Oryctolagus cuniculus: one gene and its partner. The main gene of each other region encodes a partner of the protein of the gene in region 2 in a complex. Links are inferred from orthologs where the notes say so. Each region holds a gene or a part of one and is shown on either strand. Other genes may lie near its edges. The genes, in order: PALS1 and CRB1.

Evidence for each region.
Region 1: the proteins of CRB1 (region 2) and PALS1 are in contact, whole or in part, in a crystal structure (PDB 4UU5), measured with the Homo sapiens proteins. The link is inferred for Oryctolagus cuniculus from reciprocal best matches to the Homo sapiens genes CRB1 and PALS1. Residues at the interface, in NP_957705.1 of Homo sapiens: Ala1401, Met1402, Glu1403, Arg1404, Leu1405, Ile1406; in NP_071919.2 of Homo sapiens: Lys261, Pro266, Leu267, Gly268, Ala269, Thr270, Val271, Arg272, Asn273, Ser281, Arg282, Val284, Val314, Asn315, Val317, Phe318, Leu321.

Annotation. Positions count from the first base shown.
Region 1 is NC_091451.1:13,174,792-13,178,613, reverse strand, and holds part of PALS1 (protein PALS1), read right to left. Parts: intron 2,942-3,822; coding exon 2,870-2,941; intron 1,249-2,869; coding exon 1,081-1,248; intron 1-1,080. UniProt on the Homo sapiens protein: Plays a role in tight junction biogenesis and in the establishment of cell polarity in epithelial cells.
Region 2 is NC_091444.1:13,699,854-13,703,675, reverse strand, and holds part of CRB1 (protein crumbs homolog 1), read right to left. Parts: intron 2,390-3,822; coding exon 1,433-2,389; intron 1-1,432. UniProt on the Homo sapiens protein: Plays a role in photoreceptor morphogenesis in the retina. May maintain cell polarization and adhesion.

The DNA of each region.
Region 1 (3,822 bases), on a different chromosome or scaffold from region 2:
ATCATTTTGTAATACAGATTATGAAATAATGAACTGAGGAAATGTTAAGAGCTAGTGTATTTACACCTTCATTGAGGAACGAACAAAAATGTGTATTACCTTAACAGTTACATTTAATTACCCTAATATGTTTTTTAAGATTCATTTTTTATTTATTTGAAAGGTAGAATTACAGAGAGGAGGAGAGACAAAGAGAAAAAGAAAGAGGTCTTCCATCCACTGGTTCACTCCCCAAATGGCCCCAACAGCCAGTGCTGGGCCAGGCCGAAGCTAGGATCCTAAAGCTACTTCTAGGTCTCCCATAGGAGTCTAGGGGCCCAAGCACTTGGGTCATCCTCCACTGTTTTCACAGGCACGTCAGCAGGGAGCTGAATCGACAGTGGGGCAGCTGGGTCGTGAACCTACCTCCATTTGAGATGCCAGCATCACAGGCGGAGGCTTAACCTGCTATGCCACAACACCAGCCCTCCATTTTTAAAAATTAATTAATTAGAGAGGCAAAGACTGACAGAGCTCCCATCAGCTAGCTGGTTCACTCCCTAAAAGCCCTGGAGCCAGGAAGTCAATCCAGGTTTCCCATGTGGTACTTCAGCTACTTGACCATCACTTGCTGCCTCTCAGGTTCTGCACGTTAGCAGAAAAGAAGAATCAGGATTAAAGCCAGAACTTGAACTCAGGGACTTTGACATAGGATGAGTATCTAAGGCACCTTAACTTCTATGGCAATCACTCTCCCCTAATTATCTTAATATGTTTTATGCTTCCACTTTAAAAAGCATATATACATATACAAATATTTGAGAGGCAGAGTTATAGACAAAGAGAGGCAAAGATTTCCTGTCTGCTGGTTCACTCCCAAATGGCCGCAACAGCGTGAGCTGGGCCAGGCTGAAGCCAGGAGCCAAGAGCTTCTTCCAGGTCTTTTTCAAGAACAACTATCTTTAAAAAATTGTCAAACATCTGGTTAAACAAACATCCTCTTTCATTGACAACCTTGATGAAATATCTCCCTTCACAGTTACGTTCCGAGGGTGCAGGTAAATTGAGTAGACAGGAAAATGGGAGCGCATCCAAACTTACGAGGAACTGCAGATGCAAAGCGGTCCTTTTCTTTGTTCATGAGCCTCTGACGCAATTCATTCTGGCCACAGTTCTGTGGACCGATTAGAATGATAGGTCTTTTCCTATTTGCTGGCTGATGGTAAAGTGACATTTCCTCATAAGTTAAGATCTCCTCATTGTCATAATCTTTGGAAAAGAAAAAGTTAGCTCTTCAGACAAATTAGATTACTGCCATATAATGATATACAGATCTGTCCCTCCTCACCCTACCCCCAATTATGGACACTTTATTATCATTAAAATACTTAACTTTTTGGATCAAGATGGTAGTAGATGGTAGTACTATATCATGAGCATTTTCCCATGTCCTTATAGCTTTGCCAGGACACTAAGAAAATGAATCTAACAATATACTACTAATCTTTTGAGAATTTTTTTACAGCTTATCTTGTTTCATATTGTTTGAATGGCTAAAAAAGTTGTATTGACCCTTATATAAATTAATGAGAAAAATTATGTCATTTTTGTACAATGCAGATACTTCTACTCAAGAGGATAGTTTCAAGGATCAGACAGAATGTACATGCTGAGCACAACAGCTGACACAGGTATTTACACACTGCTATAACCAGCTATCAGAGAAGCTGGAAAACTTTCCTGTAGTTGTGTAACTTGTTAACAGGTCATACTCATGCTATTCATACTTTCTGCATTTATATTTACTTTATTTTGGAACACTATCCTAGAGTCATGATGGGTGGGGTAACATTCCTAAAGCCCATTATCCAGATGAAATCAGAGCTGTTAAGTGGCAAGAAAAAAAGCAGACAACCAGCAGTCTGCCTTGCCCTCACTCCTATTACTTCACCTGACTGGGACGCAGCAGCCTCATGTATGAGACCCAGTCAGCACTAGATTCCACAAGGGCAGAGACCCATCTTAGGTTTGTCAGCGCTCAGCAGAGCCTGGCCCAGAATAAGTGTTCAAAGCAACTGTTCACAGGTTCTGTGCAGAGCACTGGCAAAGCTACAGATACACAAACCAAATTTGTAAATCAAAATGTTACCACATTATAAATATTATAAATATTGGAAGAAACCTGGTATTTTTGAGAGAAACATGTGCTGAGAAGGGAATTAAATATGCTGCTTATTAAAGTGGCTCAAATCTCAGATTTAGCTTTGTGTGGAATATCTCAACCATCCGTAAACATTTTATCTTCATTAGTGTATAAGAAACTGGGAGTGGTGGAAACTATTTGACTAAATAAAAGGTGCCCAATGGTAGGGCAATAGCCATCTGTCAGGTCCAGGGGACTTGTCATTGGGAATACAAGCCCAGGGTCATCAGAGCTTTTGATTTTAAGGGCAGCAATGACTTTAAATCTTTTTAATCTTAATAGTCAATTAAAGAGTGTGCCTCACTCAGTTAGTGGGCTCTGTGGAATGGATTGGCTCTGTAACGTGAGTTATGTTTTACTTCAAATACATCTGTTTTTAAAGAACTTGTTAGAAGCAAGTGTTAATTTTACAGGTTTAAATAATAAAAAAATGGAAACCATCAATTTTATACCACATACACATATACTACATAGTACTCTAATGTTTATACCATTTTCCCCCAATTATACACTGCATTACTCACGGGACTCCAAAAGAAAATTCCTACTGAAAAATTTTCTCAAGCACATATTCCATTAATAGGCAAAATGGGACTAGAAATAAAACTTCATGAAAATATCAGTTCACGTATTATTAGATTCAGACCCCTTCAGATATAAATTCCACCACCTGAGAGTAGAACTTACCATCATTTTTATTGGCATTATATAAAACCTTTTTCCTTTTCTTTTTATTTTTCTTTGCACACCATAGTTTTCCTGTTGAGCAATCAAATGAATTAATAAATATGGCATGTTTTCTTGAACAAAGTACATATTTTAAATAATTCAAATTGTTTAACAAGTTTTTCAAAATTTTTTTTCATTTTATTTGAAAGGTAAAGATACACACACACACACACACACACACACCCCTCTTCCATGTGCTGGTTCACTCCCCAAATGCCCCAACCATCTGGGCTGGCCCAGGCCAAAACCAGGAACCAGGAATTCAATCCTTGTTTTCCACATGGGTGGCAGGGTCCCAAGTACTTGAGTCACTACTGTCTGCTGCCTCCCAGGGTGCACATTAGCTGGAATCAGAAGTCAAGCTGGGACTTTATATGGGAGGTGGGTATCTCAAGCAACATGTTAACTGCTGTGCCAAATGCTTGCCCCAATTAATTTAAGTGTATCTACTCTTATTAAACTGTTCATAGATCATTTTTTAGTCTAGCTTTCCATAATAATAAATAATAAATAATAAAAAAATCTTTAATATCTAAATTTTGTATTTTTTAGCAATTTATTTTATTTGAAAGAGTGAGAGAGAGAGAAAAATGAATCTTTTATCTGCTGGTTCCTTTCCCCAGGCTGAGGCCAGGAGCCTCAAATTCCATCTGGGTCCTCCACACAGGTGATCATTGGGCCATTTCGGCCATTTTCCATGCTTTTTCAGGTGCATTAAACAAGAAGCTGACTAGAAGTGCAGCTTCACTGTAAGTAGTGGCTTAACCTGGCATATCACATCAGCCCTGTGGTCCATTCTTTATAGTCCTAAGGAAATCACTTTTGTTTCTCACATCACTCTTTTCACAAATTTATTTCTTAAAAGTTCTGATACACAAATTTAAACATGATTAAAGACGAAGACTCAAGAA
Region 2 (3,822 bases):
TAACCAACTTGCCACTCCACTTAAAATATTACATGGAGCTACGAGATGCCATACCTCATTGTCAAACAGGGCCACGATTTGTAATGAATGCTGTCGTGGGGGGAAACCCGTGAATAGTTTCTAATAATTCTTAGCCATCTGAACATGGCCCAGGGCTTGGCTAAGACTGGTTTTAATTTTACTTCATATAAAACAGGGAAGACTATTTACCAGATGTTGTCCTATTTCAGCTTACTCTGAAATCTTGGAATAAATTACAGCTCAACTTCAAAGCAGTCTGTAACAATTACCTCACAGATTTTTTTAGTGCATGATAATAATAATTAAAAGAAACAGGTATGCATTGCTCACTATCAACAGCAATCTTTGAAATGTTGTTGAAAATTAAGGATTTTGAAGTACATTGCACACTGTGATTAGGTAGAGAAATTAGGTAACTTGTTTATGGCATCTACCAAGTGTTACTGTTGTTATCTTTCTTTCTTTCCTTTCTCCCTTCCTTCCTCTCTCCCTCCCTTGCTTCCCTCCTTCATGCCTTTCTCCCTCCCTCCCCTCCCTTCTTCCTTCTTTTCCTTCTTTCCCCTTCTCCCTCTCTAACTCCTTCCCCTCCCTCCCCTCATCCTTTTTTTTCTTAAAACACCTAAGAAGGGGGACGGCACTGTGGTGTAGCAGGTAAAGCGGCCGCCTGCAGTGCTGGCATCCATATGGGTGCCAGTTCGAGAGCTGGCTGCTCCACTTCCCATCCAGCTCTCTGCTATGGCCTGAGAAAGCAAGAGAAGATGGCCTAAGTCCTTGGGACCCGTGTGGGAGACCTGGAGGAAGCTCCTGGCTCCTAGCTTCCAATTAGTGCAGCTCCAGCCATTGTGGCCAACTGGGGAGTGAACCAGTGGATGGAAGACCTCTCTCTCTCTCTCTCTGCCTCTCCTTCTCTCTCTAGGTAACTCTGATTTTCAAATAAATAAATATTTAAAAGAAAGAAAAAACCTACGAAGAATATCCGTTTTCTCCAATGCAATTCCAAAAAAGATAGTGTGAATAAGATAAGATTTATAAATGCACTAAACTTAAGCATGATTTTGGAGCAAGTATGAATTACATACTTGAAAAAGTGGAAGGAAGTGAATATTTACTGAGAAACTACTGTGCACAAGATACTATGCCAGTACATAGCATTGACAAGCTTCAAATTCATTTGGTTAGGAGCTACGTGCTTATTTAGCTCTCTGCATGAGTGAAACTCATGTCCTATGAATCCACTCAAAATTAATTAATGCATATCGCTGCCCTCTTCCTTGTCCTCAACAGTGGCAACCAGCAGCGGACGTCCTGAGGGGTCATTATATTTTGTAACGGACAGTAGCCGGCCGGCTGTTTCTACTGTGACTGCTCTGCTCTGCGGCAGGGCGCTCCTGGGCACCCAGCCTTCTCTCACCTCTCAGACAGTCGGGGCCTGTGTAGGGCCTGTAGCAATCACACTGGTAACTAAGCCACAGGTTGGTGCAGTGTCCTCTGTTTTGACAAGGTTGATTTTCACACCAGTCCTTTCTCACACAGCCTGCCTTGACATTCGGTGAAGAGCCCTGTGCAATGTTCTCCAGGGTGATGTGATGCAAATCGATTTTAATGTCTTGGAGACAGCCTACAAAGGAAGGTGTGGGCGCTATATCAGAGATGTTCAGCAGGGCGATGGTCCTGTTGGTGGCGCCCACTGGGAAACCACCCAGAAAGGAGTCGTGTGAAGCACAGATTGACTGATGACTTAGAAATGGAGATGGAGCTGTAGCGATGCATTCGTCTTTGCAGGAGCTGTCCTTTAAGATAAGAGTCACGTCCTCTGCAAACGTGGCCTCCACGGGATGCCACTCCCCATCGCTGGTGTTGTGGGGAATGTACAGAAGCACCTTGGACTGATTACGGACTTGGACTAACAAGTGAACATAGCCTTTCAGAAGCGCCAGCTTGACAAACACGTCCCCGTGGCCTCGGAAAAGCAGAAGTGTGGTTGGCTGAACAGTCTGAAACCTGAGGGCTATGGTGCACACGGAGTCCACGGGGGGATCTGAACCACTTGTGACCCACAGGAAGCCATTGCCCTCAAACGAAAATGTGGTGATGATTTCACACAGGGACCCTGTATAGCCAGATGGACAGAGGCAGCTGAATCCGTGCTGGCCATCTTGGAAGTGGGGAATGCATATGCCATTATTTCGGCAGTGGTGGTGGGCACAGCCCAGGAGCACGTCAGAACAGTTCTCTCCTCCATAAAAGATTCCAGAAAGATTATCAAATGGGCATCGGCAGATATAATTCCCAGGCAAGTTCTCACAAGTACCACCATTTTGACAAGGATTTGAAGAGCATTCGTCGATGTCTTCTTCACAGTGTATTCCTGTTAAACAAATAAAGACTAAGTTATAATTACACATATAACAAATAGATCGGAAAAGGAGTTTTCATATAATTTTCACGCATAACCTTGCAGAAGTGCAGGGCTAACTCAAGTTTAGGAGTGTAAGGGAGCAGAATGTAAATAGTGTTTGAGGAAAACTGAAATGGATGATGTTACTCCACAACTATTGTGAAGAGACCCGCGTCATGGCAGGCTTTGAATTTTTCTCTTAGAAATAACATGCCAAATCCAGTGAGTAACTTGAAGTGTCACACACACACACACACACACACGCAGCACTGGATATCATAAAAATGGGACAAAAAAGGAAAGACTGTTCTAGTGGTAATGCTAGACATATGTGATTTGCTTGAGGGCTCCTTTCCCAGTTATGCCCTGCATGGCTAATTTCACTGTATTCTACTTGGAAACAATGATTATTAAAAAAAAAAAAAAGATTTGCTTATGTATTTGAAAGGCAAAATTAGAGAGAGGAAGAAACACAGAAAGAGATAGAAAGAGATCTTCCATCTGCTAATTCACTCCCTAAATGGCCACCACAGCCAGGGCTGGGCCAGACTGAAGGCAGAAAGCAGGCACTTCTTCTGGGTCTCCCACATGGGTGTCAGGGGCCTAAGCACTTGAGCCATCTTCCATTGCTCTCCCAGGTACATTAGCAGGGAGCTGGATTGGAAGTGGAGCAGCCAGTCTCAAACCAGTGCCCATATGGGATGCAGGTGTTGCAGGTGGCAGCTTTACTTGCTATGTCACAACACTAGCCCCAGGAATAAAGATTTTGTCTTCTGTCATATTTATAGTTCCCCACAACTCCTTAAACAAATGTCTGCAGTATGTAAGGCTGGTAGAAGGCTCTCACCATGGAGTGCTTCTACAGTGAAAGGGAGGCGTTTGCTCCTAACATGGAATTCTACCATGAATGGTGACATCTATTCCGTAACAAGCTCCTGCTTATAGTTTTGACTTCACTGTCATTTAGTCTTTTCCTTACTTCCAAATCAAAGAAGTATATCTAATATCCAATAACCGAATTATTAGGATTGACTTCATCAAGGTGAGAAGAATGAGCTTTTCCAACAGCATTCAAATGAATAGTGAAAACAAAAACTGACAAATGCATAGCTCTTTCTGGGTTCTCCCCACACCTTCTTCTATATGTTTATATTCATGCTCACCACGACTTTCTAAGATTTCCAGGGTCTATATTCCAGTTCCTTTTAACGAAAGTGGAGGTTTAGAAAGAGCGCTTCTGCAATTCGACCTTAAATTAACTAGGATTTTAAAATACAATCTGAAACTCTATTTTTAATTGATAATTTAGAGTATTTTCATTTATTGTATTTGAAATTTAGAGTATTAAATTATATTGATAATTTAGAGTATTCTCATGTATTATATTGGCTTTCCCATTTACC